Regions from separate parts of the Mus musculus genome. Here region 2 is reported to be linked to region 1. The links are microRNA targets in miRTarBase. Many come from high-throughput screens and were not tested one by one. Region 1 holds a microRNA gene; the other region holds the end of a gene's coding sequence.
The links. The annotated mature microRNA mmu-miR-3967 reads AGCUUGUCUGACUGAUGUUG and lies in region 1 at 1,494-1,513, shown strand. An mRNA with a match to its seed (bases 2 to 7 or 8) in the 3' UTR can be bound and repressed. Matches are read on the target gene's strand: a 7mer-m8 pairs with bases 2 to 8, a 7mer-A1 pairs with bases 2 to 7 and ends in A, and an 8mer does both.

Region 1 (4,683 bases):
TTAGCTAAACTTCCAAGTCCTAGAGGGTGAGCCCAGAAAGCCCAATGCCAGGAGGAGTGTTGATTCCACAGCCGCCTTTGGTTGTGTGTGCCTGTTAATGCTGCTAGGTCGAAAACTGGAATGCAGTGTTGAACCCAAGATGATTTGAGCATGATTTCTTATTTTTAGCTACTATGTTAAATTTTTGAACATTTTTAATGCAAAGTAATAGGCACTATAGAAGCTATAACGGTTAACGACTATCTTTTTTTCTCAAACTTGCTATAATCTGATTTGAAAACAATATAAATGATTAAAATGAAGTACTAAATAGAAGAGCTCAGAAATAGGGTACCATAGGATCAAATAGGAGTACCACCGTACCAAAAATAATTTTTTTATTTTAAAATGACCTTTAAAGTGTGTATGCATGTGTGTGTGTGTGTGTGTGTGTGTGTGTGTGTGTGTGTGTGTGTGTGCAGGGTCACAGGCATGTTGAAGCCAGAGGACCACCTCATGTATTTATTGTTTTCCTTAGGTACTGTTTGCCTGCTTTTGAGGCAGATCTCTCATTGGCCAGGAACTCACTGGTTAGTGGAGGCCGGCTGAGGAGCCCCTCCCTCACAGCCACTTCCTCCACCCCTCCACCAGCATGGTGACCACTGCCCAGCCTGTGGTTAAGTAGTTCTTCACTCTACTTCAGTCTGGAGCCTTTCCTCCACTCTTGTCTGTCTTTCTTGGGATGCTTTTTTTTCTTTCCTGTTTTAATTTCTTTTATTTCTATCTAACTCTGATGCCCAGGCTGGCCTCCCTGTCTCTGGCTCCCAAGCACTGGGATCACAGGTGTGCTTGAGAATTTTCTGATTCTATTCCTGAAGGACTAGATAATTTATTTGGGTTGTCTGATTTTTTTTCTCATGATTCAATTCAAGTGAGGTGTCTGGAGCAGGGCTTCCAGCAAAGCAGGACTTTCTCCTTGGCAGCTTGTCAGGAGACTGGGCTCACTATTAACAATGTCAACCATAACTATTCTAAAATAAGGGTACTCTCTTTACTCTGAGTACATGATTTGAAGAGGTAGCTGTGTGTCCTGTTGCATTCAGCCACTACTTAGCTGAGCATCCATTTCTAATTCTTATCTGAATTGTTTTGAGGGTTTTGAAATGTTCATTTTTCTACCTCCATCCTTCTTGTTTATTTGTCAATTCCTGCGTTCGATGGGAGGGAGATTCATACTCGTGTTTTTTCTGTCTTCTCTTTTTCTCTTTTGCTCTATCACCCGGATGGACTCATGGCAACTTTCAGAAACGAATTCTCTCCTTACCGCCTCCCACTCTTTCTTTTCCATTTCTCCATCTCTTTTCCCTTCAGACTTTCTTTTCCATTATCTCAATTGCTAGTAATTTGCTGTGCCTGTGCAGGAGATAAGTCTGACAATGACAGTGATACCTGGTTGACACCATAGTAGAAAGGGTCACTGGCTGCACCTGACTCAGGCAGCAAGAATTCTATTGAGCTTGTCTGACTGATGTTGGAGCACAAATTAAGTACTAGTGCTTTGTAAACAATTTTGCTGTTTTAAAAACACTCCTCCAGCCTTTGAGACCATGGCTCCCTGCGCTTGTTAAAGTACCACACTTTGTCATACAATTTACCAAAACAACTGAAAGTTTAAATAACCTGGGGTCATTAAACTCTTTTGTTAAATTAACTGGACTGTAGCCAAGGCTTCAACTGAGAGCCTTGTGGGGCTACGTCAGAACCCTGCGGAGCGCCCACAGGCACAGGAATAGGACAGACCAGCAAGAGACACTGAACCAGTTAGGACAGAGTAGAGCCAGGAAGCCCAAGCATCCAATTCCCTCCAGATTTCTACACAGAGAATTCAGAGGCACTTGTGATGTCCTACATGAGGAAGTTACAAAATAGCAACAGCCAAGACTCATTGCTTGTTACAAGTGGTCACAGTCCACCTGCTGTAAGCAACTGATCTAATTAATTCGTCTAATTAGAACACAAAATAGTGTATGCCTCACGTGTACCCTTACTGTCACAGTATTATTATGGTATGTGGCCACACAGGCAATCATGTAAAACATTATGGTGAGCTGCCCTTTCTCATTTAGCTTATATCAAAGCCACAGATGCTATGTCCAAGGGCACATGGCTGGTAAGTGAGAATCAGGACTCAGAAGAGACCTACTAACTTTCACCAGTTAAGAAAACTGCTTCTTCTCTCCTGTCATTATTATAGTCAAAAGCACAGTGCTGTCTCAACTGCGTTGAGTGTACATTTTAGTGGCATCCAACTCTCACATTGTAAAACAACCATAAACTGGAAATGTGCCCATGAGACAACAACCACCCATCACCCTCTTCCCCATGCCTGCCAACCACCATTTACTTTTATTGTATATTCTCTATATGTGGATTTGGCAGAAAATTGTATTACTCTTGCTCCCTACTGGTTAAAGTATGATCACCCAGTGACTTTTTATGAGAAGTCTTAGCATAATATCCTCAAAGTTTGTCCATGTTTATATCTTGGAATCTCTTCCTTTTCAGGAGTAAATAATATTCCATTGTATACATGTATACCACATTTGTTGATTCCTTTTTCACTTTGGGGTATATAAGCCATTAGCTCCTTTGATAAATGTATCTCTAAGTATTTTTATTATTTTCAACTGAAATGAATTGGTTTTTTACTTTCTTATTTAGATAAATCATTGTTGGCATAGAGGATTCCAGTGATTTTTTTTTTCCCCTTGTGGATCTTGGTGTCCAGAAACCTCACTGAATTCAATAATTACTTTTAAACAACTTTTTGGTGGAATCTTTAGAGTTTTCTCTACATACAGTCATGTCATCTGGAAGCAGAAACCTTCGATTTCTGTTGGACTTGGCTGGGTTCCTTTCCTTGCCTTGTCTCTGGCTGGGACATGCAGTGCTTCGTTTGCTAGGGGTGACAGACAAGACTTGTCATCCTTGCCTTTTTGCTGATCCTAAGCTTCCAATTTTCAGCACTGAGTGCAATGTGCTAACTGTGGGCTTTTCATATACGGCTTCAACTGCATTTACCTACACTTTTTTCTATACCTAATTCATTGGGAGATCTTACCACAAAGGGATATTGATTGACTCTTGTCAAAAGCTGTTCCTCAACTAAGGAGATGCTCATGTGTTAGTGACATTTTTTTAAAATGTTCCAGTTTTTGTCTTAACCAAGCTAGCTCCCAAATAATGGAAACTGGACTATTATTTTTATTTACATCTTTAAGGCATAACAACTGAGCAGTATTAATCTATTTTAAACTTCTAAAATAATCTGGCTACCTCTCAGCCAAAATCCCAGAGATACTTGGATTTTGTGGCTTTCTCAAGTCTAGGTATTTTTCCATGGTCTTCTGAACTCTTTCCCCATGGATCCTCTCCCTCTCCCTCTCCCTCTCCCTCTCCCTCTCCCTCTCCCTCTCCCTCTCCCTCTCCCTCTCCCTCTCCCTCTCCCTCTCCCTCTCCCTCTCCCTCTCCCTCTCCCTCTCCCTCTCCCTCTCCCTCTCCCTCTCCCTCCTTATCAGGGAATAATAGGTAGCAATATTTACACAACATTGAGACAGGAGATTTGAAGAATAAGAACTGTATCCATAAATGGGGGCACAGAAATCAGCACTCAAATAATACAAAGATAATTTTTACACAGTGCACAATAACATACCTACAGTCATATTTTTGTGTTTCATTCTGTTCAGATATGGTGTATTGTGCTTTTTGATTTGCATATGTTGACACACCCAGTGTCACAAGGATATATCACATTTCGCTGTGTTATCAGATCCTTTTGAAATATTACTGTGTTGAGCTTGCTGGTGTTCCCTTCAAGATTCTTTCATCTGTTACTGTCCTGCAAGTTTCTTCACTTGTAATGCCTTTCCCTTATTTTCACATCGAGGTAATTCTGACCTTGCAGAAAGAATTTGGAATAATAATCCCTCCTTTATGCAGAAGATTGTAGACATTGTTAGTCATCATTATTTAAATGTTTGATGAAATTCACTAATGAAGCCACTAGGGGGGTAGGAAGGTGATGGTAAATTCTTTATTGTTGATTCAATCTCTTGTAAATTCTTGGACTCTCGTTACGTAAAGAAGAATGTTCACAAAAACAATTTTTTAAAGAGTGTTATTGTCTTGTTCTTAAATTTAATGGACAAGCATATAGGGCATTATATTTTGGGTATAATATTGACACTTACTTTGAGGTAGATGATTTTAATTGTGTCACAGAAATGCCCTAGTTTTCTTAAATCACCAGAAAATTCTTCGTTTTCTCTTCTCATCTTCTCTACCTCTTCCCTCTTCCTCCCTTTCTTCCTTCTCTAGAATAGATGTTGTTGACTGTCAGAATGTTTTTCATAGCTAGGTGCACTGGCACATGCCTGGAATACCAAAACTTGGGAAACTGAGGCAGGTGTAGGCCAACATAATGAGTCCCTCTCTCAAGAGGAAAAAAAATGCCTTTCATGCATCAGTTAGGACACCACTGTGGTTTCTTCACTTTAAACTATTGCAGAGATGACATACACCGAAATGCTAACAGTTCCTATCTCCACACACCTGTAACAAACCCTACCTGGTTCTGGTAGATCTCTAGTGTCCTTGTTTGTTTTCAAAGATGTCCTGATTTCTTGGAGACTTTGTAATATT
Region 2 (4,000 bases), not on the chromosome of region 1:
AGAGAAAGTTCAGGAGCAAAGTAGTCTGTTAGAGAATGGGGCAGTCCACCAGGGAGACACCTCGTGGGGCTCCAGTGGTTCCGGGTCTCAGTCCAGCCAGGGCCGCGACAGCCACTCCTCCAGCCTGTCGGAACAGTCCTCCGACTGGCCCGCGGACGACATGTTTGAGCATCCTGCCTCCTGTGAGCTTGTGAAGTCAAAGACTAAATCAGAAGAGTCCTTCTCTGACCTGACCGGCTCCCTGCTCTCCCTGCAGTTGGATCTTGGGCCTTCACTTTTGGATGAAGTCCTGAATGTCATGGATAAAAATAAGTAGCCAGGAGTCAGCTCTTTTTCTTGGGAGTAAGAGGTACCAAAATAAGCAGAAAACAAAAAAATCAACTAACCACAGCTGATGGAAAGAGCTGCTCTGACTGTTTTTATTTGCAGCCATGTGATGCATTTTCTAAAATAACGCTCCTGTTCCTACAAAATATTTTTTTAACCATCATGCCCTGTTTGCAAAAATTTTGAAAACAATAATTTTTAAAAATTAAAAAAAACAAAACAAAACAAAAAAACCTGTTCTGGCAAAAAAGAAAAAAAAAGAAAAGAAAAAGGAGGAAGTGAGTCAGAGCTCATTTTCAACAGGCATTGCTGATGCTCATACATGCTCAGTTTTGTTTGTAGACATGCAGAAATCCAGGCTGTCTAAGAGGGCTGGGTCCATGGGTCTCTCCAAGGCAATTCATTGCATGTTATGAGAAGGAAACTTACTTATTTGGCACCTACGCCTTTTTTTCCTAGCCTTTTTTGTATATTGTATCTTTTGGGTTCACCACAGCGAAGTCTCCAGCGTTATGATTTTACTCTTTGCATATTCGAGCAACCTTACAGGATTTGGGATTTTTTTTCCTTGTGGTTTTTATATATCCCTGTATATTATTTCCATGTTGCAAAAGTTTGACTGTCAGCTACATGTTGGTTAAAAACAAGCAAGGTATTACTGTAACTAAGTTATTTTTAAAGTTGAAATATATTTTTATGTGCCTTTGGCTTTTTATTGCAAAGTCTACATTTTATACATAATACATCAAGTGTTATTTGTCGTGTTTCCATTCGGGCTTCCTTGCAAGCTACGCGTGTGTATTTGAAAACAAAACCAGCCCAACCCTATGCGTTATCAGCCTGACCCTGTTGCTCGGGTGTTACCTCCTCCCAGTAGGAGGCACAGGGTGATGCTTCTGTGGAGACTGGAGGTGAGGTAGGTATTTAAGGACAGCTCATGTTCACATTACTTGGGTACATCATACCACGCAATAAAGAGTAAATGCTAAAATGAACGTGTTCATTTATAGTCATAAACAAGAACCGAAAAGATTTTAAGACCATCTAGTAAAAGTCCTAAAATGTACCCACACCTTTAACATAAGCCAAGAGATGACTGCAGTCTTGACTTTTTTACAAGTTTGGTTCTAGAAATAGGAACACTTAAGAGAAATGAACATGGGCAATCATTGTGTTATTGTTGTTGTTGGCTTATACAAACCTGCATGCTGAGAGAGAGAAGAGAGGAAGAGAGTGAGGGGAGGAGATAGAGAGGGAGGGGAGAAGTGGAAAGGGGGGGAGAGATTGAGATTGAGGTGAGAGGATAGAAAGAGAGGTGAGAGGATAGAAAGAGGAGCGAGAGGAGAGAGAAGAAAGAGAAAGAAAAGAGAGAAGAGAAGACAGAGATGGGGGAGGGGAGCTAAGACTATAAGCCTTTGCCACAGGGCCACCAAAGCCCTGTGCATGCCTGTCTTCAAGGTTGGCTACAGCATTTTATCCTGTAAGACAAAGGCTCCCTTGCTGTGTAGGTCCTACAGACACAGAAGCTTCAGAGGACCACTCAAGGGCCCTTCCCCTTTGCAAGATGCCCTGAGGAGATTGGTTAAGGAACCCAGAACAGGAAATTGCACACAGATTCCTGTCTATCTTTAGGCGCCCCTCCTGACTCTGAGCTTTGTTGCCAACAGGGAGTGCCAGCTCCCTCAGCTTGATGTATCCCTAGGGCACCTTCACCAAGGCAGCAGCAGGGACTCTGGCCTGGGGTTTAGAGTTCTTGGACTTCAATCATATAATGCATGGGATAACCTTTGAACGTAGGAAGTGAGATCCACTTTGGGTGGCTAACCAAACAGAGTAAATCGTTTCCCCTAGAGCGTTGAGTCTATTAAGCAACCCCAAGTCCTGCATCTCCACTCTGCTTCTTCCCAGTGTTCCTTTCTGTGGGATCACACTCAGTCATGGGTCAGAAACTTCTTAGACTTTCTAAGGCCAAGTTGCACGAGCTCATTTTTTTGTAGCTGGTGTCAGCCAAACTCTCTTAACACTTTCCCATCTTAATTACTGATCATATTCAGTCTCACTGTACCCTTTGTCTGCTGTATGACTTCCGGGAAAGAGGGAGGGATTTGTCTCCATCTTTTTTGCTGCCTTTCCAGCCATGGTGGAGAACGGCTCTGGTAAAGTCTCATCTTCTGCATCCCTCACATGTCTACCCACTTGACTTTTCCAAACTAAACTCCATATTCTCCAAAATCCATACTCTGTCCGGACCAAACAACTAAAACACAGACACCTTCAAGTACACTTGTAGGTATACTTGACATAGCAAAAAATTCGCTCCTATTATAAGAAAATGGCCTGGTCCAGTCTCTTGAACAGGTGCCCAAGTGGCAGTTAACTTTCTGTCCTACAAAGAGGCACTTTAGACTCTTACCTGCTGAGAGCTGATTTGATGTTCTCAAGCTGTGTCTCCATCCTACTTACATCCTAATTTATCTTCACTTAATTTAAGGAATTTAAGGAAACCCAAATGGACTTCATTTGTAAACTAAAAATGAGTGACAAGCCACCTGTGTGTGACCCACATACCAAAAATATGTCATCATTTGCATAAGTAGTGACCCTTTTAAAGTAGGCAAAGTTTTGTTTTTTGTTTTGTGTGTAGGTAGATGTCTGTTTTCATGGACAGTAAGACCTAACAAACTATATTTTCCATCCAAAAATTACATGCTAAAAATAATATCAGAGTCCTTTGCTCCTCATAATATACAGTCATTAATCTCAGTGGGCCAGCATCACTGTCAACAAGCACATAGAGGACAATTGGTTGAGCAGGAAGGAGAACCAGAAACCCAGGATACAGCCTCAAGCTAGGTCTTTTCACTGAAGGCCACTGCAAATACTGTACATCATGGAATGGTGCTGACCTGGGAGTCTGTGAATTAACTTGATAACTATTTTAGAAAATAAAAAAACCAAAAAAAAAGAGCATATGTTATATTTCTAGTCTTCCCATTAATGCCAAGCTGGGATGACTGAGCCATTTTGCTTTGAGCTTCAGCAACAATAAAGCAGCTCAGGATGCTGCCCTCTTTGCAGTGAGTCTCACTTTGGGAATTTATACTGGCAACCTAGCCCCAGACAAAACCCTCCGGTTTAGGATTGGCCTCCTAGACTATGAATGGTAAGCAACTAAGGTATATAAATAGACCACTGTGTCCCATGCCCTTGGTGTAAATATAATACAACTGTCCTGTGTCCCCACCCGTACTCTCAGACTAGATCCAGCACAACAAGAGAACATTCTCAATGTCACACCACATGGTGAGCCACCCGAAGACCTCTTTAAGCTGTATGAGACTCAAGAAAGCTGTGTTGCTGAAAAGTAGCCATACATATTAATTCGTGGTGCTGAATAAACAAGATGCTTGCTTTGTAAGCGAGTAAATGGTCACTGCTCAACATACTAACACAGTTGATGGATCCAACGCTGCCCAAAGGGTCACTCATTTTATTCTGAAAGCACACTGTTTTATCCAAGGAACTTTTCACCTGAGAATGGTTGCCATGTTATGCTTCAAGCGAGGAAGTCCAAATGCTCCTAGCTTGACTCATTGGGTCATCCTTCTCTAGTGAATTACTGCAAGGAACATCACGTGAAGGAATGAAAACTCTTATGGAGTGATCTGTAACA

Region 2: miRTarBase lists Cdc42ep3 as a target of mmu-miR-3967. Seed matches in the 3' UTR shown: 7mer-A1 at 971-977.

Annotation. Positions count from the first base shown.
Region 1 is chr2:22,652,828-22,657,510 of GRCm38, forward strand. It overlaps Mir3967 (microRNA 3967), which reads left to right and starts at 1,456; the gene lies at 1,456-1,523. All of the region lies in intron 8 of Gad2 (glutamic acid decarboxylase 2), which reads left to right.
Region 2 is chr17:79,331,041-79,335,040 of GRCm38, reverse strand. It overlaps Cdc42ep3 (CDC42 effector protein (Rho GTPase binding) 3), which reads left to right. Exons shown (of 2, transcript NM_026514.3): 2 at 1-1,318. The coding sequence ends at 316. Among named protein-coding and RNA genes, the nearest start is that of Gm17315, 22 kb to the left of the region's middle.